Pelodiscus sinensis: one gene and its partners. The protein of the gene in region 1 binds, or shares a complex with, the protein of each later gene. Links are inferred from orthologs where the notes say so. Each region holds a gene or a part of one and is shown on either strand. Other genes may lie near its edges. The genes, in order: RIPK3, caspase-8 and ZBP1.

What was found.
Region 2: RIPK3 (region 1) and caspase-8 share a complex: the UniProt entries of both Homo sapiens proteins name them as parts of the AIM2 PANoptosome complex. The link is inferred for Pelodiscus sinensis from reciprocal best matches to the Homo sapiens genes RIPK3 and CASP8.
Region 3: RIPK3 (region 1) and ZBP1 share a complex: the UniProt entries of both Homo sapiens proteins name them as parts of the AIM2 PANoptosome complex. The link is inferred for Pelodiscus sinensis from reciprocal best matches to the Homo sapiens genes RIPK3 and ZBP1.

What each region holds. Positions count from the first base shown.
Region 1 is NC_134740.1:1,554,526-1,562,221, reverse strand, and holds the start of RIPK3 (receptor-interacting serine/threonine-protein kinase 3), read left to right. Parts: upstream 1-4,633; 5' UTR 4,634-5,507; coding exon 5,508-5,795; intron 5,796-5,889; coding exon 5,890-6,050; intron 6,051-6,629; coding exon 6,630-6,679; intron 6,680-7,696. UniProt on the Homo sapiens protein: Serine/threonine-protein kinase that activates necroptosis and apoptosis, two parallel forms of cell death. Necroptosis, a programmed cell death process in response to death-inducing TNF-alpha family members, is triggered by RIPK3 following activation by ZBP1.
Region 2 is NC_134717.1:56,935,816-56,943,623, reverse strand, and holds the start of caspase-8, read right to left. Parts: upstream 3,048-7,808; 5' UTR 3,030-3,047; intron 1-3,029. Other genes in the region: caspase-8-like, read right to left, coding at 6,433-6,583. UniProt on the Homo sapiens protein: Thiol protease that plays a key role in programmed cell death by acting as a molecular switch for apoptosis, necroptosis and pyroptosis, and is required to prevent tissue damage during embryonic development and adulthood.
Region 3 is NC_134728.1:13,959,103-13,966,561, reverse strand, and holds the start of ZBP1 (Z-DNA-binding protein 1), read right to left. Parts: upstream 3,068-7,459; 5' UTR 2,276-3,067; coding exon 2,213-2,275; intron 2,161-2,212; exon of another isoform or gene 2,005-2,160; coding exon of another isoform or gene 1,998-2,004; intron 1,934-1,997; exon of another isoform or gene 1,816-1,933; coding exon 1,770-1,815; intron 1-1,769.

The DNA of each region.
Region 1 (7,696 bases):
GGGGGAAGAAGAGGGAGGAACAGACCCCCCCTTCTCCACCCCACCCGCTGCTGCCCCTATGCCCCTTGTAAGCGGATCAGTCCGGGGGGAAGGGCGATACGCTGGTGTTGGCACGGACAGACGGACAGACACCGTCCCTGTTGGAGTCACCGGTCCCGGGCGGAGGAGCCGTGGGGGGCGGGGGGGGGGGCTGGATCGGTCTGGCTGATCCTCCCGGACGTCCCCACTCTTACAGCAAACCAGTTTGTGATCAGGGTTTGGCTGTTGTGTTGGCATCGGCGGGTTTTCGTCGACGATGGGGAGGTGCCGTCGGGGTGGGGTCTGGGGTTTCGCTTTGGTTCGTCCCGCCCGGCCCAATCGGTCGGTTCTTGGCTCCTTCCCGAGCCCCCGTGAGGTCCTGGATGTCACCTCGCGGGTGGGAGGTCGTGCCCGCTGGTGGCGTTACGACGGGCTGCGGCGATTCCTCTGACGACAGACGTCGCCGGCCTGCCCGCGCCTTTCGGGATGGGTCAGTGGCTCCGTTCCGCATGGTGTGTGGGGGGCTGTCTGCTCCATAACCTGGGGTCCCCCTGCGCTGGGCTGTGCGATTCCCAGGACTCCCCCACGTGTGCATTGCCCAGACACCGAGGCCTATCCTGAGCAGATAACAAGGCTCATCCTGGGGCGACAGAGTGTGACGGACCAGGCGGTCTGAGCACAGCTGAGGGCATCCGCTCAGGGCAAATTGCTCAAATCCGGGGCTCCCTACAGCCCCCAGACTGGTGACCTCTCCACACAGGCCACACACCAGTCCCACAGAGCACTTCAGCTGCCTGCCTGAAGCCTCACGAGCAAAACCCCTCCGACACCCCAGCAATATCCGTGCCCCAGATGGCCCCGGGCCTATACACAGGTGGGGGGTCCTAGCACCCAATCCCACCTACCCCGAACAAGTTCTGTCCGGTTCCAAGAAACCAGCCACAGATCCCTGGTCAATTTACCCTCTGGATCTTACCCACAAATCACGCTGGGCCAATCCTTTAGAATCTATATCTAAAGGTTTATTACTACAATAAAGAAAAGCCTGAGAGTGAGGCTGTTAAAGGATAGTACGTTACATGCACCGAATCTCCCAGTCCTCGATGCAGGCTCTAGCAGAGATGTTGCAGCTGCTGGTTAAAAGTCCTTATTGCACATCCTACGATCAGGATGGGTTCACAGGTCTTCTGGGCTCTTCGATCCCTGCAGTGCTGCCTCTGGGATGAAGTGCTGAGCTGAAGACCAAGATGGTGTCGACCACATGGCCTATTTATCCCTCCTTCCTGGTCTCTTCTTGGCTGCAGCAGGTCACCTGGCCAGTGGCCTATCCCTGTGTCCCCTGCTGGCAGCTCTTAGGTGTCACCATTCCTGAGGTGTGTCCTTGGCCCATTGAGTGCCATTGTCCCACAGGGCCTCGCTCATTAGCATGTCTATAGGCTGGGCTCTGCCCAATGCTCAACCACATGCAGAGAGATATTCAGTATCCACACATTACAGATCCCTACCTCCACACACAGACATTACACAGATCTGTGAAGAGCAGAGACAGAATCAGAAGAAAGTAGCTTTTGTTTGACTCCTCCCATGGCCCCCTTTGCACCACTTTTGGGGTGAACACCCCCCCATGGGTGCAGCAGTGATCCGGCTGCTCCCCTCACAATCCAATAACGTGACACAGAGAAAGGCAGGGAGGCGGACACGGCCCTGGGAGCGAGGCAGCGAGGAAAGGAACAGACTAAGCCGGGTGCTGAGGGTAGTGGGGGCGACGGGCCCCCTAACCCAAGGGGTCGGAGGCAGCCCGGCCCTGACTCCGGTACCCACATCACGTCTGTGCTGGGCTGTGTCCCGGACAAGCAATAAACCCCTTTCTTCGACGGGCTGGCGGAGTCTTTGCTCGCGGCTACGGGGGGGCAGGATCGGGGGACCCCGGCACGCTGCCACACACGGCCTGCTGCTTTGCTCTGCGCCGGAGGAGCAACCTTTGTCCCGGAAAAGGCGTGTGCCCGTTGGCACAAGGAACATCGCCTGCCACTTCCACCCCGCCCCGCCACCTTGGCACCCTTCTGCGGGTTTCGTGAGACTCCGCTTAAAACTCCTCCCTTCCGGCCCGGCCTCAGAACCCGAAACGGGCGCCCCCGTGCCTGCAGGGAGAGGGGAAGCACCTTTCTGTTGTCCAAAAGTGGGGCCAGCAGGGTAAACTGAGGCACGGCGCTGTGCATAAAGCTTCCCGTGAGTGACCTGGCTCGGTGCAGGGGGGTGCAAGGAAGGGATGGAGGATGGCTGAGGGTACGGGGTTGAGGAAATGCCTCTCTGGTGCCCGTAGAGAGCTGTGTACCGCGCGGCCTCCTAGCCCGGAGCAGCTGTCTGTCTGTCTGAGGGTCGGTCTGTCTGTCTGTGTCTGAGGGTGGGTCGGTCTGTCTGAGGGTCTGTCTGTCTGTCTGAGGGTCGGTCTGTCTGTCTGTCAGAGGGTTTGTCTGTCTGTCTGTGTCTGAGGGTTGGTCGGTCTGTCTGTCTGAGGGTCTGTCTGTCTGTCTGAGGGTCGGTCGGTCTGTCTGTCAGAGGGTCTGTCTGTCTGTCTGAGGGTCGGTCTGTCTGTCAGAGGGTTGGTCTGTCTGAGGGTCAGTCGGGTCTGTCTGTCAGAGGGTCGGTCTGTCTGAGGGTCTTGTCGGTCTGTCTGAGGGTCAGTCGGTCTGTCTGTCAGAGGGTCGGTCTGTCTGAGGGTCTGTCGGTCTGTCTGAGGGTCAGTCGGTCTGTCTGTCAGAGGGTCGGTCTGTCTGAGGTCTGTCGGTCTGTCTGAGGGTCAGTCGGTCTGTCTGTCAGAGGTCGGTCTGTCTGAGGGTCGGTCTGTCTGTCTGAGGGTCAGTCGGTCTGTCTGTCAGAGGGTCGGTCTGTCTGAGGGTCGGTCTGTCTGTTCTGAGGGTCAGTCGGTCTGTCTGTCAGAGGGTCGGTCTGTCTGAGGGTCGGTCTGTCTGTCTGAGGGTCGGTCGGTCTGTCTGTCAGAGGGTTGGTCTGTCTGAGGGTCTGTCGGTCTGTCTGAGGGTCAGTCGGTCTGTCTGTCAGAGGGTTGGTCCTGTCTGAGGTCGGTCGTCTGTCTGTCAGAGGGTTGGTCTGTCTGAGGGTCTGTCGGTCTGTCTGTCAGAGGGTCGGTCTGTCTGAGGGTCGGTCTGTGGGTCTGTCGGTCTGTCTGAGGGTCGGTCTGTCTGAGGGTTGGTCGGTCTGTCTGAGGGTCGGTCTGTCGGTCTGTCTGTGGGTTGGTCTGTCTGTCTGAGGGTGGGTCGGTCTGTCTGTGTCTGAGGGTGGTCGGTCTGTCTGTGTCTGAGGGTCGGTCGGTCTGTCTGTGGGTCGGTCGGTCGGTCTGTCTGAGGGTGGGTCGGTCGGTCTATCTGAGGGTCGGTCGGTCTGTCTGTGGGTCTGTCTGACTTTCTTTCTGCTCACACACGCACCTTTTCCTCCTTTCTTCTCTCCCCCTCGCCCCCTTCCCCCCGGCCCGGCTCCCCCGCCGCCGCTCTCCGAGCCTGCCCCGGCCCCTCGCCTCGCCTCGCTGCGCGCCCGGGAAGTCCCGGCGGGCGGGCCCGCGGCGCAGGGGGAAGTGAGTCGGGGCCCGCGGGGCAGGAAGAGCGAGGCCGGCGCGGAGCTGACGCGGCGGGCGGGCTGGAGTCACAAGTTTCGGTGCGGGCCGGGGCCGGGCGCGGGGCCGCGGTGAGGGGCGCGGCCGGGGGGACCGGGCTGAGGGCCCCTCCTGTCCCGGGCAGGGATGGCGGCGGGCGAGGCGTTCCGGGAGCGGGTCCCGCGGGAGAGCCTGGAGGACTGGGAGTTCATCGCCTCGGGCGGCTTCGGCGTCATCTACCGGCCCGGCACCGCGACTGGCGCATCCCCATCGCCGTCAAGAAAACTGAGCCGGTAAGTGCGGGCCTGGGGCTCCCCCCCGCCGGCCCCCCCGGGGCTGCCCCCCCCCCGCCTTCCCTCCCCCCCCGGGGCTGCCCCCCTCGCCGCTCCCCCCGCCGCCCCCCCGGGGCATCAACCCCCCCGCCTTCCCTCCCCCCCCCGGGGCTGCCCCCCCCGGCCTTCCCTCCCCCCCCGCGGCTGCCCCCCCCCCGCCTTCCCTCCCCCCCCGCGGCTGCCCCCCCCCGCCTTCCCTCCCCCCCCGCGGCTGCCCCCCCCCGCCTTCCTCCCCCCCCGAGGCTGCCCCCCCCGCCTTCCCTCCCCCCCCGAGGCTGCCCCCCTCTCGCCGCTCCCCCTCGCCGGCCCCCCCGGGGCTACCCCCCCCCGCCTTCCCTCCCCCCCGGGGCTACCCCCCCCGCCTTCCCTCCCCCCCCCCCGGGGCTGCCCCCCCCCGCCTTCCCTCCCCCTGTGTCTGCCCCCCCCCGGCCTTCCCTCCCCCCGTGTCTGCCTCCCCCCCGGCCTTCCCTTCCCCCGGGGCTGCCCCCCCCCACCGGGCATGTCCCCCTCGGCCGCCTTGTCCCTCCCCCTTTTCCTTCTGCCCTCATCGCCTTCCCTCCTTCCCCTGTTCCTTCTCTGCTCCCCTCCCTTCCCCTTTCCCTCCTTCCCTCTCTGCTCCCCTCCTCTTTCTCCCCTTCCCCTTCCTCCTCCCCTTCCCTCTCTGCTCCCTCCCCCTTCCCCTCCCTCCTTCCCACCAGCTCCGAACTTTCTTCTCCCTTCTACTTTCTCTCTCCCTCCACAGCCCTCAGTTTCTTCTCCCCTCTGTGGTCTCTGCCCCTCCTTTGTCCCTGCTTCTCCTGCTTCCTTCCTAGGACCCCGGGGCTGGCAGAGACCTCAGGAGGCACCGAGTCCAGCCCCCTGCCCAAAGCAGGACCCACCCCCACTCAGTCATCCCAGCCAGGCCTTGGTCAAACCCCCCTCCCTCGGGAACCCAGCCCAGCGCTTCCCCACCCGCCTCGGGAAATCGTTTGTCCTAATCTCCAACCTAGACCTCCCCCACTGCGAGTGGAGCCCATTGCTCCTTGTTCTGCCACCTGCCCCACTGAGAACAGCCTCTCGCCAGCCTCTTGGGAGCCCCCCTGCAGGGAGTTGCAGGCTGCTCCCAAATCCCCCCTCGCTCTGCCCTTCTGCAGACTGAACAAGCCCCAATCCCTCAGCCCCTCCTCGTAGGCCAGGTGCTCCAGCCCCCAAAATCATTCTGGTCGCCTCCGCTGGCCCCTCTCCAATGCGCCCACGTCCTTTCTATAGTGGGGGGCCCAGAACTGGACACAACACTCCAGATGTGGCCTCCCCAGCGCCGAATGAAGGGGAATAATGACACCTCTGGATCTGCTGGCCATGCTCCTCCTAATGCCCCCCAATAGGCCATTCGCCGTCTTGGCTGCAAGGGCGCCTGGTTGGCGTCTGTCCAGCTTCTCGTCCACTCCCATCCCCAGGGCTGTTTCTGTCTTCTCATCCCCTCCCGCCTCAGTTTCCCCCATCCCTGGTTCCTCTCCCCTGCCCACAGTGACACCTGCAGCTGGGAGGAGCTGCTGGCCGAGGCCCGGGCCATGGACAAGGCGCGTTTCATCTACATCCTGCGGCTCTTCGGCCTCTACGAGGAGGAGGAGGAGGGCTGGGCCGGTGGCCCCCGGCTGGGCATTGTCATGGAGTACATGGAGTGCGGGAGTCTGGCCAGCCTGCTGGAGAGGGTCCGGCCAGTGCCCTGGGCCCTGCGCTTCCGCCTGCTCCACCAGGTGGCGCTGGGCATGAACTACCTCCACGGGCTCCGCCCACCCCTGCTGCACCTGGACCTCAAGCCCAGCAACGTCTTGCTCAACCCGGAGCTGGACGTCCGGGTGAGTGAGCCTCTCCCCTGCCGGCCGGCTGGGTCGGCGCCCCCTAGAGGGGGCCCGTTGCCTGACACCCCCCATTGCTCTGCCCCCCTCCCAGCTGGCGGACTTTGGGTTGTCCAAGTTCAAGCGGGGGACCACCAAGCAGAGGGCTGAGCAGTCGGAGGAGGACGACGACTACGGGGGCACCCTGGAGTACATGCCCCCCGAATCCTTCGTCAGTCTCAACTACCGGCCCACACCCGCCACCGACGTCTACAGGTCAAAGAACCCCGACTCCACCCGCCAGGCACTAGGGGGCACTGTAGTGCAGGGAGCAGGGCAGGGAGCCCACTAGGGGGTGCTAGTCACAACCCCTGGGACCCACAGAGGCACTAGGGGGCGCTGTACTGCAGGGAGCAGGGCAGGGAGCCCACTAGGGGGTGCTAGTCACAACCCCTGGGCCCCACAGAGGCACTAGGGGGCGCTGTACTGCAGGGAGCAGGGCAGGGAGCCCACTAGGGGGTGCTAGTCACAACCCCTGGGCCCCACAGAGGCACTAGGGAGCACTGTACTGCGGGGCAGAGGGCCCACTAGGGGGTGCTAGTCACAATCCCTGTGACCCACAGTGGCACTAGGGGATGCTGTAGTACAGGGAGTGGGGCAGGGGGCCCACTAGGGGGTGCTAGTCCTGACCCCTGGAACCCACAGAGGCACTAGGGGGTGCTGTACTACAGGGAGTGAAGTAGGGGGCCCACTAGGGGGTGCTAGTCCTGACCCCTGGGACCCACAGTGGCATGTTGGCATGGGGCCCCTCTCCCGTCCCCAGCTCCCAACCAGCCTCCTCTCTTGCCCCTGCAGTTACGCCATCCTCACCTGGTCTGTGCTAACTGGCGAGCAGCCCTACCCACGTGAGTGTCACCCCGCCCAGGGGGGGACCAGGCTTGGCCTGGGTTGGAGGGGTCACCAGAATCCAAACACACTGGGCCTCTGGTGGACAGGGAATCCCTGTGACCCCAGCAGTATGGGGCCCATGGCTCTCACAGGCCCAGTTCTCAGTCCCTCTGCTTAGAGCCCTGTGAGCTGCGACAGGAACAAACCCAGCGTCCTTACGAGCCCTGATTGTGGGGAGACAGAGAGGCGGGTGGGAGAGGGCAGGCAGCTGGCTAGAGACACAGACCATGGGATGGGGAGTTACATGGAGCAAGGGGGCCTAGGAAGACCTGGGGGGCTGGTTTTATCCACAACAAATCCCTGCAGACTGGGGCAAAATACTTCAGCCCTCTCTTGCCTCAGTTTCCCCAGCCAGGAAGCAGGATTGCATTGTTTTCGCTTGTGGCTGGGGCGGCCTCTTCCAGGTGCTGTCAAAAAACTGGGTTGGGAAGAGGCCGTAATATCCCAGCTTGGAAGTCCCTTCCCACCGCTGGGAGTTCAAATCCCAGAACCTCTGAAAATAATGAGTAGGGACATCTCAGTGGAGCGAGGCCATTGGGAACATGGCCCGGATCTCAGTAGTGTGTAGGCACTGGAAATCAAATGGGATGGCGGGTAATTTCCTTAAACCCCGGACAAATTCCAATTTCTCTCCCCTGCGCCAGCCGGACCTCGGCAGAAAATAATACCCTGGCTGACCACAAGGGGGCGTATCTGTGCATGACTGTGATGTCTCTTACTCACCACAAGGGGGCAGACCCGTGCATGACTGTGATGTCTCTAATTCTCCACAAGGGGGCGTATCCGCACACTACAGTAAGGCGATGTCTACACGCGCACGGCTTCTTACGCGAGTAATATGCAAATGAGGCGAAGCGTGGAATATCGCCGAGCCTCATTTGCATACCTAATGAGCCACCATTTTTTTCAGACTTTTCAGGTGTAACGGCGTTGCGCAAGAGGGTTTTTCTTGCGCAAGGAGGGGCCGTGTAGAC
Region 2 (7,808 bases), on another chromosome or scaffold:
GATTATTGGCAATACTTATCTACACTGCTGTCTATCAGACAGACAGTAGTGTAAATAGGTATAACTTATTCTACACTGCAGTGCAAGCCCAGGTTGAAACTCAGGCCAGTGCTACACTAAACCCGAAAGATTGGCTCAAGGTGTGTAACTAACGTAGCTGGAGTCAGCATATCTTAAACCAAGCTTGTTGCCATCTTCACAGTGGATGTTAATGGGAGCAAACACTCCCATCCGCTTCCCTTATTCCTTGTGACTGGGAGGAGTACCAATGCTGACCCGAGATGCGCTCAGCATTCAATTTAGCAGGTCTTAACTAGACCCACTAAATCAAACACCAGAAGATCTATCACCGGAGCATAAGTATAGATGTGGCCTCAGACTCACGTGCTACTCTCCCTTCTGTCTACTCACAAACGTCTTGGACTTTGGCTCAAACCCAAGGTCTTAGACAGGAGTCAGCAACCTATGGCTCCTGAACCAAATATGGCTCTTTGGCAGCTGGAACGCAGCCCCCCTCCTCATTCCCTCCACTACAAGGAGCCCATACTAGCACTTCAGCCTTGCAGCCCCCTCACCTCCACAAGATTGGTGCGCTAGCGCTAGCTTCCTGTGGGGGCAGAGAGGGGAGAAAGCCCCGAACCTCGCTGCATGATCCAACTCGCAGGGGAGAAGTGGAGGCAGATGTGGCTCTGCGCGCTGCTGCATCCCCTCCCTTGGCTGCAGGAACAGCAGCACATGGACATGCTGCCTGTAGGATTTCTCCGCTGTTCCCACTGGCCAATGAGAGCAGCAAGAGGTGCCTGAGAGCAACATGGGGCGCAAAAGCAAGTGAATGCCCCCTTCCTCTCATGCCCAGACTTGGCACCCCAACTCCCTGCCCACTGAGACCCTGCACTCCCAGCCCACTCCTGCACCCCTCCCCCTGGCCAGACACCCAAACTGCTCCTGCATCCTTCCCCTGGTCAGACACCCCACCGTCAGCCTGTTCCTGCACTCTACCTCCCACCCTCATCCCCTCCTGCACCCCATCTCCCACCCAGATCCTGCACCCCCATCCCTACCCCACTCACTGGCCGCTCTGTCCCAAACACTGAACCCTTCCTTTTTGGCTCCACACCAGAGCCTAAGGAAGTCCACAAAATCCACTGCCCCTCAAAGCCCAAGAGAGTTAATCTGGCCTGAGGCCTTGAACTTCATTTCTTCCTCCTCTCCATGGGGATGGAGTGCCAGGGAAGTGGGGTGTCTCAGTGGGGGGCCACATCAGTGAGGGCTGTGGGATTTTGGAGGGGTTTTTTGCTGCTCATTTGTGTGGTCCCTAATTTTTCTGTGGGTCAGTGGCCCCCACCCCGAAAAAGGTTCCCCGCTCCTGCCATAAATAAAGAATGTTGAAACCTTTTGTATTGGACATAACATTTTTACTTCATTTAAAATAAAGTTTGCTAAACTAATATGAGAAAGCTGAAGTGCTTAATCTGTTCAATAATTTCAACTAATATTTTCTTTCTTACTGGCTAAATTAAACTGTTCTCCCTTGCTGCACCATTAGCAAAATGGCTCGAGTGTAATTATATAATTAGCGTCAAGTTTCCATTAGGACCTGGTGGTCCACGGAAAGGTTTATAATGACCTGGGTGGGCCATGGGCCAAAGGGCCTGTTCTTTTGCCATTCCCAAAATACATGGAACTTTTTAAATTAAAACGAAAAATTAATACACAATTTCAAAGACACATAAAATGGGCAGGCTGGGGGCACTCTGCTCATTGAAAGGGCCAGCTGAGGATGTGCTGGAAAGAACACGTGCACGCTCCCAGCTGGCATAGCGAGAGGGGCTGGCGGCAGCAGATACCTCCACCTGGCTGCCACAGCTCGGCTCCAGCCCCCATCTTTCTGCCGCGGTCTGTCCCCAGCTGCAGTGCTCCTGAGGTGGACCCCGCAGCTCAGTCATGGTGGACCTGCGACTGCTGCAACAGCCCAGCCATGGTGGCCCGGTTTAGGTTCCAGCTACGGCAGCCTGGCCAACTAGGCCCCAATCGGAAGCCAATCCCCCATCTGTCCACAGGGTCCTGTCCCTAGCACCGATCCTGGGGCAAGCCCCACTGTATGGTCCCCATCTGGCTGCAGGAAGGGCTGGTGGCAGCTCCCCTCCTGCTGCGGCACAGGTAGGAGGGGAGGCCATAATCTGGCTGTGGCGATCCTGGCCTGGCCCCTCATCCCAGCCACTGCAGCAGCCCAGCCTCGGCTAGGTAAAGTAATCCATTCCCAGAACCTCCCCGCATACTCTGCTTCCCATCCCAGCACCCTGCCCTGCTGCCTGCACCTCCCACACATCCCATCCCCCTGTCCTGAGCCCTTCATACAGCCCAATCCTGACTGCTGCACCCCCACGTCCACAAACCCCCAGCAGCAGCAGAAGTCCATTAAATAAAGCCTGTGAGTACAATGTTTCATTGGTGCTATTATTAATCATCACATCAATCATCAATCATTTTCAGTTGTATATTTTCAGTCATGCAATTGGGCACTCTTATGCCGGCTCTTTGTTCTGAGTTTTGATGTAATTTGGCTCTTTGACGTGAAAAGATTGCCAACCCTTGCTCTAGAACTTTCCAGAACAAATAAAATTCTAGAATCAGGGCCTGACCCAGTCCTGTATTAAGGTTCGTATAGTGGCCATCTTGGCATTCCACCCTCCAATTCAGGACAGATCTGTGTTTTGGCACCAGCTGTTGGCTCAGTTCTTGAAAGGCTCTTCCCTTCTGTCAAGAATCACCTCCCAAATGGGACCTCTGTTGGGTCCTCTCTAGGCTGACAGGACCACCCTTTGAGCCATTGGGCTCGTGTTCCCTGGCTCATTTATCGTGGAAGGTCGCTTTCCTCATGGCGGTGATATCGGCCAGATGAGTGTCAAAAGCCTTGACATCAGAACCATATTCAGTCCTCTATCTGGCTCTGACCCCAGATGGTCTTTTTACTGAAAGTGCTATGGCCCTTCCATGTTAACCAGGATATTTTCCTCCCGGCGTTTTACCTTAAGTCACATGCCAATAATGAGGAGAGGAGGCTGCATGCTTTGGATGTCAAGTGTGCCTTGACTTTTTATCTGGCACACACCAGGCCCTTCATGGAAATCAACCCAGCTCTTCATGGCAACTGCTGACAGGATGAAGGGCCTTCCAGTGTCTACACAGAGGATCTCCAATCAAAGATCAAAGCGTGTTACTGCATCAAAGCGTATTATGACCCGGCACATGTCCTGCCACTGGTGGTCACAGGCATTATCGGCTGCATTCCTTGCTCACGTCCCAGTCCAGGACATCTGTAGAGCTGCAATGTGATCTTCCATACACACATTCACGACTCACTACAGCCACACAGACTAGGGAGGACACTGGCTTTGTCAGTGCTGTGCTACAAGCGACATATCCCTGAACTCCTATCTGCTTCCATGAATACTGCTTGGAAGTCACCCAGTTTGGAATGGCTGTGAGCAAGCACTGGAAGACAAAACAGTTATCTGTTCCATAACTGGTGGTCCTCGAGATGTCTATTTCTCAACCCACCCTCCTTCCTCACTTGTTGGAGTTTCCAGTGGGCAGGAACTGAGGGTGATGAAAGTGTGAAGCATCCCTTATATTGTGCTTTGAGAGTTGCTAGAGTTGCTCCCCTGTGGATACTGGACCATGGTGCTTGTAGCGTGCACACACACCTGACTTGGAATGGACATGAGCAGCATCTCAAAGACCACCAATTACAGAACAGGTCTTTTAGCATCCGCCTGTTTCTTTGTCACTGTCCGGGTGGATACAAATTGATTTTTTTAAAGTCTACTGTTAAACAAATTATGTAGAGCAATTGCATCTTCTATAGGTGGGGAGACAATATTTTCTTCATTTCAGATTATAGTTATCTAGTTCAGTTCATTTACTATCTCATTCAAAGTTAAAAACCCAATTGGGAGTTGGAAAAATGAAGGACACTGTTTTTCTCTGCCACTCCATGTGGAAAAAGTAGGTGTAAGAGAGTAAGATCTACTAGTTCTAAATTCTTGAAGGACAACGTAACCAGGAACAAATCAGTTAAATTCACAAATCACTGATAATACTGCCTTTGTTTAATAAACTGGTTAGTTTTCAATGTTTTGATACACTTTCTGATAAACTTTCTTCTGATGTATACAGCACTTTTAATATCATTTTATTTAATAAAAACAATTAAAATGCTATTTTTCTGCATTTTAATTTAATTTGAATTTCCATCCTATTTGAGTGTGACAAAGATCACACAAAAAATTTAATCTACTATATCAGAAAAGCCTTCACCATTTTCTATTAAAAATGTCAAAACAAAGAAGCTGAATAAGTATATGCTAATGGGCTAATCTATATAGTTGCTTTGCTTAAAGAAATATGTAGAGATATAGTGTAGTTAGCAAAAATCACCAGCAAAATATAGCCTTTCCACTAAATTAATTTAGTTGCAAGTCAGCATGCTTCTGAGGTTACAAATTAATGAGAAATCAACATTTCCTTAAGTCACATTCTAAAAAGTACAAATGCAAAACATGATTAAAATAGTGGTTTCCTGCTTGCTGATTTAATTTCTGTATAAAGGGACTTTTCCCCCTGAGAACCATGCTATAGACCTGATGTTCTAGGCAATTTATAGGCTCAACTTTCTCCGTCCATGCAGAACCTCCCCAGGATCAGATCTGTAAATCCAGAATACAAATCAAGGAAGTTAGGGTTTTTGGGGGGTGGGAAAGTTAGGAGGGGCATGGGCTGAGATAATAAAAATGGATTTTGGTAAACCAAGACTGGCTGTTTTTCTGGAAATTGTGCTCTAGTTCAAAAAGGAGTAAATTCAGGAAAGTCTTATGTCTGCAGTATAGGAGGTCAGACAAGATGATTACCAGGGATCCTAGTAATCCATTTAGAAAAAACACAGAATTTGCATTTTTACAAAAAATCTCTAGTTTTTACATTGTGTAAAAAAATATAAATATTAACTATTAACTAAATCTTACTGAAGGTGTCAGTGTCACTTATTCACTGTGTGCAGCCTCCCACTCTTGATTTTTAAATTTACATAGCTAAACATACTACAATAAACTACTTCCAATGTACTGAAGTTACTCGACAGTGTATAGGGTTCTGTGTTTTAATGTCTCTCACATTTCACTTCAACCTCCAGACATGAGTAATCAAAGTTATGAAAAGATACCAAAAACTTTAAAACCACCCCTAGAGTCAATGAATTTGGCAAGGAGAAATTTCACATTGATGATACAGGTAGAACCTCTCTAGTCTCGCATCTTCTGGACCTCACTGGTGCTGAACCAGAGAATTTGCTGAACCATTCAAGATCAATATTTTCTATCAGTATTACCAACACTTCCACTGCTTACAGGCCTCTTAGAAGATATTTAGGTGTAAATTAGAGCTAAACAGCACAACAGAACACTGGACTGGTGGCTGTAAACAAACTTTATGAGACCTCAGGAAACTTGGCCACACACACCCATGATAAGTGGACATCCAGCCAAAAGAAAGCATGCTGAACCACAGATGTTACTGGACTAGAGTGTGCTACACTAGACTAGTTCAACCTGTTCTGCACTGTATGCAGTAAGGTCATAGATTACATTCGAAGGCAGACACTTGTAGAACACATGGAAAGCGCCAAACTAGACTAAAAAAACAAAAAACAAAAAACACAAGAGAGGCTGAAACAGTAGGACCATCAACAACTGTAAAGAAACAATGTACTATGACTATCACGTGAGTGTTTTTATGCGTTTAAAACCCACAATTTCCTGAAAATATAGAATACAAACATACAACTGTTAGGTATACATAAAACATACAAATAGCAATTCTATTAATTTTATTATAGTGTTTGTGAAATGGATAGGCTTGAACTTGCTAAAAAATGGTAAATATATCAATAAAACATTGCATTCAACTGATACCTATATATATTGTGGCTAGGGAAACTAAAATTCAGCGTTTCATTTCAACTGTGGACAAACTGAAGAATTTTGGGGTTTTTCCTTTCACAGAAAGCTAAGATCCCTAATAATCACAATGGCCCCTTTCAGACATACTATCTATGAATAACATTGACAAATGGAAACTGCCGATTTCCTCATTGGTTTGGAGTCATAATTTTCCTGTGTGTTTCTTCCTGTGAAATCAGGGTCAAGGCAGTCAATCCTAGAAAAGGCTGAGCAGGCTCAACTCCTACTGAAGTAGATAGATGCTGGACACTGTCAGGCCATTTCATGATTTGGACCACTGTCAGGGCGAATGATCCAAGAGTTGAAGGCCCTCGGTACCTTGTAGGACTGGGACCTAACTGAATAGATCCAGTCCATTGGTCTTTTGGAACTGCAAGTTGAATCCATCTCAGAAAGCGGCTCCTAGTTTAGTGTCTCACTGACGCTTCTTGTCTGGCGTTGGCACCTGGAAGATCAGTTGCTTCCGCAGGGTTGATTTTATTTCTGGCATCTGCTTTTTGTCGAGAAACACTTTTTCTCCCACTTTCTTATTGACTTCTGTCAGAATGGTCAACAGATCTACACGCCTTGAACAAATTACAAGGGGAAACAAGAGTGATACGGAAACACACAGGACTTTCAGAGTAGCCGTGTGAGGCTGGTCAGGAAAGTTGTCCAGGTTTGGGTGACATGATCCCCTGGAGCAAGGACAATGGCTTTCCTTTACCCTAGCTAGGCGGTGGGTAAGGAAGGCAAGGGAACGCATTGCCTTCCCAAAACAACTGGGGTGGTCCCACCCATGCTCCGCCCTAGGGCCCCTCCTACCTGTGAGCAGTGGGTTGCTCTTGGACTGGTGCTGGGGCTGGCGATTGGAGAGGGAGAGGTGCAGGGCTGGCCAGCCCCCTGGTGCTTCAGGGCCAGAAAGGCTGGTGTCGACTGGTTCTACGACCGTCTGGGAAGGCTGGAGCTGCCCAGCTGCTCAGCCAACTGGTGCTCCTGCCAGCCAGGAAGGCTGGGGCCACACCACCCGTGGAAGGGGGGAGGCACAGAGGCCTGGGGGCATCCCAAGGCTGGGAACCACTAGCCTGGGGTGGGGACCAGCTGCTACAGCAAGAGCGAGCTTGGTTCCATGGTGGTGGGGGGCATTGTGGAAGGGACGGGGACTCGAGCTGAAGCGCAGGCCTGGGGACTTGCCTTCCCCAGCTGGGGTTTCACCCACCACCTATGGTACGATGTAACCATTGCATTCAACATATATCAGAAGAAAAAAGAATTTCAGAAAGGCCACTCGGTGTAAGCTTTTCTATCAAGCTGCATTTCTTGATACTGGTTAGAAGGAGCATTTAGATAATATGGAGACGCCAATGAACATCATCCAACCCTCCTGCTGCTCTCCATGATGCTACACAAGACTGATCACAGACACCATTTGCCTTCATTTCCAAAGCACAACACTGGCGCGGCTTCTTCTATAGACTGCAGCCTAGGGAAGGGTGGTTCTTGCCATTGCTCTTCACTAAAAAGAACTGCCTGCTTCCTCTGGCTTCCACTAATTCCCACTGGAAGAACAAAACCACTGGTCATTTAACATTGTGAAGTACTATATAGGAGACGTCTGGGAAGGCAGCACAGTATGGAGCAGCGACAGGCAACCAAGGCTGGTGAGTGGGCCACGAGTGGCCCTCCATCTCAGTGGGCATGTGCATTAACCATGACCAGCATGGTTTTTGCTTTAAATGGGGGTCACTTCTCATTTCGCCCCACCCTGTCCTCACACTCCAGCCCTTCCATCAAAACACTGCCCGGCTCGTC
Region 3 (7,459 bases), on another chromosome or scaffold:
GCTACATCAATTGCGTAGCTGAAGTCGAAATGGCGCCGAAAGCCGAATTAAGCTGTCTACACAGCAGGAAGTCGAAGGAAGAACACTCTTCCTTCAACGTTCCTTACTTCTCATAAAATGAGGGTTACACGAATCAGAGTAAGAAGTCCTGCAGCTTGACATTATTTCAAAATAATGGCTTGCTGTGTAGATGCGCTCTGTGTTATTCCACAATAATGTCAGTTATTCTGAAATAACGCTGCTGTGTAGACAGACTTAGGTGCTGCAGAACTATTGGTTGTTTTAAACGTTTTTTTGGTTACAGACTAACACGGCTACCCCTCTGAGACTGGCAAGAAGAGATGAGGGTAAACACATTCTGTGATTGGAAAGATGGTAACTATTTCCAGCCAAGATGGAAAGAAAGAGTAGAGAAAGGACTGAATTTTTCTTACCTTGCTGAAAATAAGGCCCCGTCTACATGGGTCTTATAACCACATAATGGGGTCCAAGTACACCTTGGACATGGCAAAGCTGGCTTCTAATCCTGAAAGGTGCTGAGCCCAAGTGAGCACCTCCCATCCCATTCTGCTCAGGGGGAGCGCAGCATGCCCGGGATTGGGCCCCCGAGTGGAGCAGTGCTGCATGTTTCCAAGGTTTGACAAAGTATGAATTACTAGAGTCAAGCTCCCTCTCCCACCTCTTCTCTGGCCAGAGCAAGTGCAGCCTGGCCCCACAAGTTGGTCTCTTCCCAGTGCTTTTGCTGTGCCAGCTGTGGGGGCTCTCACCAAACCAATTGGTTTTGGTGGCCATTTAATTGTTTTCTTTAATTATTATTTTGTCCGTCTATAGTTAGGAGCTCAGCCAACACAGCGAGCTTGCTGGACAAGTTTACACCAACAGCACAGCTGCCCCAGGCCTCAGGCAGTGTACTGTGGGTAGCTCTTGGAGCGGGACACCCTCTAGCTAAGGCTATGCATCCCATGGGTGGATTATACCTAACTAACCATGTGGATGCCAGTGTCATGGGTTCACAGTCTTCCAGCTTGGGGTTTGTGTGAATCTGAAAATAGCCAATGGACCCAGATTAGTCCCATTTTAATCCTTCAATCCCTGCCTGTCAGATGTCTTCATAACTGCTTGATGACTTGAACCTTCCACCTGCCAGCTTTGGTGGGAGTTGATAGAGAAACCCCTTTGTCCCCCAATTCTCATTGCAAGGGCTAATCAAAAATGCCCCATGAAAACTTGTTTTCCTGTGGAAAACTGGGGGCTTGGCTAAATGATTTTTTTTTCTGAAAGTCTCTGCTGTCATTGGTAATATTCAGTTTTTCAAAAAATGCCCATTAAACAGAAAGTTTTCTGATTTCATTTTTGGGGTCAGGAGGAGAGGGTGAAATCGGACAGTTTTTGGCTGGAAATATATGATTTAGTTGGTGAAAACCAAATTGGTTTTGACTTTCAACATTTTCTGCTGAAAAATTAATCTTTTTTCATAGACTCCATTTTCTGGCCAGCTTTATTCACGGTGTTCTCTAGTAAGCAGGAGACATTTCCAATCGCTCTCCTAAGGCAGACATATGATGACAAAGACAGAACCTATAATTTAGCTTCTGAAGCCCCCCTTCCTCTACCTTCCTAGGATACACAATGCCACTCGTATCAAATCAGTCTCATCTATGTGCTAAACATCAAAAGTAACAGACAGAGTCAGGAGTATAAATGAGCAGCCAGAAAAGTCAGGCAATTTTTCATTAAAAACTTAGAATATCTTTAAAAGCGAATCTTACCTGCACTATGTGTTGCTTTTGCCATTTGTCCAAATCCTAAAGCAGACTGAAAGTCAATTACAGAATTCGTCACAAAACAACTGACTCCGGCATATGAGCATGTATTAATCAGAACCAAACATCCAGTCAGAACAGAAAGAAAAGAGTAACTTGGGGTTGGGTTTCTAAAAGAAACAAAACAAAAACTGATACCGTGCGGTGAAGCTGGAAATGGAAATTGCAACTTACGTATCATCCCAGAAACCGAAACTGAAGTTTGACAAGACAAAGTCCTCTGTAAAAATGTCTGTCTGCGGATAAAGTGTTACACATGACTCAGACAGTCTGTGGCCATTTTAATATACATCAGTAAGCAAGAGAAGGGAACTTCCTGATAGAAGCAGGGAGGATATTAATAGAAAAAAACAGGAGAGATGAATAGATATTCCATTCCTAGAGTTTACCTTTGTGTGCTCCATTCTCTTACATGAGTGTCCTTGGCTCAGATGCCATCCATTTAGGCACATCTCTCATACTAGCTGATCTGGAAGATCCTTCTTTGAAATCTGTCTGAGCTTCAGGGAACAGAGTGGATCTATATTTTCATACTTCCATAAAGGACAACTTACTGTGTGTGCACTCTGCTACGTTAAAATCCATCGTAAACAGCTTTTCTTTAAGTTTCTTTAAGCAGAGATCACTCTTCTTTGTTTTGCTTCCACCTGAAAGCTCTTGGTCATGTCAAAATTCTCAACAGAGGCCCATCTATTCATGCCATGGTATGCATTCAGGTACAGCAATTGTGTGCACAGTTTTAGCAGCTAGTCATGAAAATAATTGATAAAGGACTGTGGTAAGTAATTGCAAATAATGCATGCAACAATCTAGCCCTGGGAAGAGTTCTGAATAAGGAATTTGCTCTGCTGAATCCAGTGTTGACAAGTCTGAATTTGCATTGGGAAATGTTGTGATATTTTTTGTTTTTTTCTTAAAGTGCCAGCTTCCAAAGTCAAGATATCTCAGTCTTCATTTAAAAGAAAGAAGCAAGTTTCTCACCCTCATGATTACAAAACGAAAAGCTTGGAAAGACTCCAAGACCAGAAGGCAAATAAAAATAACTGCATCTGTATTATTTAAGAATCCAGATACTTATTAAGATAATCTCATGATTTTGGGGGTATAATTCCTGATTTTTTGAATGTTGTGGTCTGGTTATGCTGTGACTCCTAGAGCTGAATCATTCTTGTGATCAGTTGTGGGTGGAGCCAGGAGTGAGTAGCATCGTACAAACAATGTTGTAAATCTGTAAATAGAAAACGAAACTTGCATTTTTCTCTGAAACAAAACCAACCCAAATCATTGGCAGACATGAAAATGACAGCTTTCAAATAATAATAATAATAAAAAACCCAGACCAGGGAAAGAAGCAGCAGCATGTCCTTATTTTTAAATATTTGTTTGTTTTTAAATATTTTAATTTGTTTTCTTTGCTCAATATTATCATAGCTGCATGTTAACATGTAATCTTTGGGTGGGCTAGGGTTTTCTTCATTGCCGTTCTCCAGTGCCTACAAAATCCAGCATCCTAAGGAAAGCAACTATAGAACCAGAGTTCATTCACTGAAGATTTTCAGTGAGGGTGTATCTAGACTACAGGGTTTTTTTGAAAAAAGTGACCTTTTTTCAAAAAAACTTCAGCTGCATCTAGAAATTAACTCAAAAGAACGCAGCCGTTTTTTCAACCGTGGAAAACCTCATTTTACTAGGAACAACACCTTTTTTCTAAAGTGCTCTTTCAAAAAAGGCGCTATTGAATGCAAACAGGGCTTTTTCAAAAGAGAGCATCCAGACTTATTTTGCTTTTTCAAAGTAAGTGGTTGCAGTGTAGATGCTCTCTTTCGAAAAAGGCTTTTTCTAAAGATTCTTTTGAAAAAGGCTTGTAGTCTAGATATACCCTGAGATTTTCATAGTCAAATCCAAAAGAATAAAAGGAATTAATTTAGTTCTTCAATGCCAACTTTATGAAATCTTATGATAAAGAAATTTAAATAAAAATATTTTGAACATAACAGGGCTATCATGTAAGCCATGTACATGAGCTCTACAGTTATACATGAACATGAAGAAAACAAATTGAATCTAAACAGGTCAGTCCCCACAGAAACACAGTGAAAAGGCACTCCCAAAAGCTTAGACTGAATTCACCCGAGTCTCAGGCTATGTCTACACTCGCGGCTTCTTGCGCCAGAAATATGCAAATGAGGCTAAGCGTGGAATATCGTTCACCTCATTTGCATACCTAATGAGCTGCCATTTTTGCAGAAGAGGCTCTTGCACCAGAAGGAGCTGCCTACACAGTAACAGCATTGCGCAAGAGAGGTTTTCTTGCACAAGAAGGGGCCTCAGAGTCTTTGATCACCAGATCTACATGGTAAGCTGAGTCAAAAGCAACAACTTCCCTCCACTTGCCTGTAGAAATGTTCAGCTGGAATTCATGCAGAGTTTTCCTCCTCTGCTGAAACTACTCAGCTAATCAAATAACCAACTGCTTAGTTAAGCATATAGAGTTAAAACAAATACAAAACTAGACTAGCAAAAGAAATGTGGCTTCCCACTCATCATATTTAGATAAGAGTAACATTGGTGAATCATATTAGCTGAGACATTTAACTAAAACAAACATTCAAAGTATATTTCCCTCCCAGTTTCCCCTGTCTGTCATCAGCACTGACAGAACCACCCTGTTGGAGGGTGAACAGTATCACTAACCTGCCGCAAAAGGCATCTGATTTAGGGAAAACACCTGCTTCCTGCCGCTGGGCAAGGTATCTCCCAACCCATTCAGCACCCAAGTCATGGCCTTTTGCAAGCTGTCTGGTGTCCTGTGAGTGTAGCAACAGGGAACCTACTGAGCATATCCAAAACTACCACATCAAATCCCAGAAACTTCTGACTATGGAGAATTAATTGTGTGTTCCTCTATCAACACTGACTCAGACACAAGTCATTCCCACTCCCACCCAGGGGTGGCCCATCCACATAGGCGCCTAGGGCGCCAAATTACATGGAGCGCCAAATGGGGGTGCAATATAATTTGGAGGTGGGGGCGCTGATTGCATGGTTCACCTAGGGTGCCAGTTGCTGGCAGCTAGTCTAGGGCCGCCTTCCCCACCCGCACCAATAGATTTCTTAAAGAGATATCTCTCTAGTACGCATGTTACACACAGGCTACGTCTACATTGTCCCCTATTACGGAATAGGCATGCAAATGTAGCACTTTGGAAGAGGCAAATCCGCGGGGGATTTAAATATCCCCCGCGGCATTTGCATTTTCATGGCTGCCGCTTTTTTCCGGCTTGGAGATAAGCCGGAGAAAAGCGTCCAGACTGGCCCGATCCTCCAGAATAAAGCCCTATTCCGGAGGATCTCTTATTCCTACTTGCAAGGAATAAGAGATCCTCCGGAATAGGGCTTTATTCTGGAGGATCGCGCCAGTCTGGACGCTTTTCTCCGGCTTATCTCCAAGCCGGAAAAAAGTGGCGGCCATGAAAATGCAAATGCCGCGGGGGATATTTAAATCCCCCGCGGATTTGCCTCTTCCAAAGTGCTACATTTGCATGCCTATTCCGTAATAGGGGACAATGTAGACGTAGCCACAGTGAAAATCTGTCTAAGGTGATTGTAAGCCATGAGAACTGATTGTGCTTCACTGTGGAATCACTCCAGCTTTACACTGGCAGAACACCTTTGATTTCAGTGGTGGACTAGAACTGCTATATCCATGGTTTACATGCCATCACTTTGAAATACTACAGGGGGCTTTCCAATGAAACACATTGTCTTGGGGCCTCCTCCAGCAGAGGGCAATACACAAATAGATACAACTAAGGACACATTGGCATTGTTCTCTGCTGTTTCTCCTTAGAGAGGAGTTAGCCCCAAATTTACCTTTCCCCTTCTCCCCTATGAGCTTTGAAGTTCTAGCTTTTATCATTGCAGACCATCTGCAGAGGAGATGTGGGATCATGAAGCAGACTTTAGCTATTGGATGAGACTTCCCAAGCTGCTAAAGAGCTTTGGATGACTAATTCCTATTGGGTTTAATGGGAAACAAGCATGAAAACCTCTTTGAAAAATCCCACTCACTGCTCTTGATGTTAAAATAATTAGCACCATGTTCTATTTTATTCTATATAGGCCCTAATAATGTGTTCATTACTGAAGTATTTGATCACTTTCCGGTAGCACATGATGTGTTGTGCTTAACATCTTTCACATGTTGCATTCTCTCATCTCCCCCGCCCCCACCACAGATTATGTTGCAGAAACTCAGGTCCCTGAAATGCACCATGCAATTGGCCTGGAAGTTTGAGTTAATTCATATAATGTAAAGTGTCCTGCCCCCTTTTTTTCCCCTTGTGGCCCTAATCTGGAGCCACTCCAGGATTCCTCCCACATTTGGGCCTCAGTAACACTAGCTGCCTGCACTACAGCTGTGGTTTCGATGGAGTTATAAGATCCTTTTTCCTGTGCAAATCTCTCTTTATAGCCTTCTAACATTGACAGGTCTGTGCTGGCACTGGAGGGGCAAGAGATGCTGTGCCTGAACTGACTGGCAGCAGGCGAGGGGCCAAGGCTGAAAAGAGAGGGAGAGAGATGCTGGGGAAAAGCAGTGACCAGAGATGGAGGGAGAGAAAAGTGAACTCTTCTGAGCCACACTTTGTTTCAGAGTAAACCAATGAGAGCAGCGTTCCCTGTAAGCTGTGTGCTTGTGTGGCCACTCAGGAGAGACTCAAATGCTGCCTAGCTGATTAGTAGAGTGCTCACAGCTAGATTTGTGTTTCTACTGAGGGTGCACATTCACACATGCTTTGGTGCACATAAAATATTCCACACATGGATGGAAAAAATCCACACAGGGACAGAAAAGGTTAGAAGGAACGTTGAATGAGAGGTATTTTATTTAAACACAACCAATACCGATCAGTGCCATCGCCTCCCACGCTTTGCCTGCCATTCCCACAATACCTGGTGTTTTTTTTAAAGCCTGAACTGCTGAAGTCAAGAGAGTGTTGGCTTTCATTTTAAAAAGACTGGACAATTCTAACTCTCATGATGCAATCTTGGGGCCCTGGAGCAAATGTACCGTAAAGGCTCACAAATAAAAAAGCAGCCCCAAATGGTTAATATAAAAAAACTTTATTTTTCCATCAGTGTCATGATTTTTGTGGGGCCCGACTCTCGGTGTTGGACTTCTTGGGACAGCGGATACTCGGTGAGTTGGCTAAAGTGTTGCTCCCTACAGCCCAGCTGGAACTGGAGAGACCAAGAATCAGACGCTCTCCCCTCCTATCTCCCTGCTGTGGCAGTTCAGCGCACGCTGCAGAGAGGCACCTGGAGAAAGTCACATCTCTCCCAGGCTGCCACATGCAACCCAGCTGGGGCTGGGAATCCAGGGATGTTCCAAACTTAGTCCCCCACCCCTCCGCCCCTCTTTCCAGCACCTACCTCCACCCATTTCCTATTTCCTCCCACCTACCCCCTGCTTCTTCTCCCACATCACTTTCCACAGTCTCTCTCCAGGGTCCAGGACCAGGATGCACTAATCAGGTCTGAGGCGTACACCTTAGAGCAGGGCTACTCAACTTCGGAAGCCCTGGGGGCACAATGATACTCTTAGCACATGACGAGGGCTGCAACTTAAGTGTGGT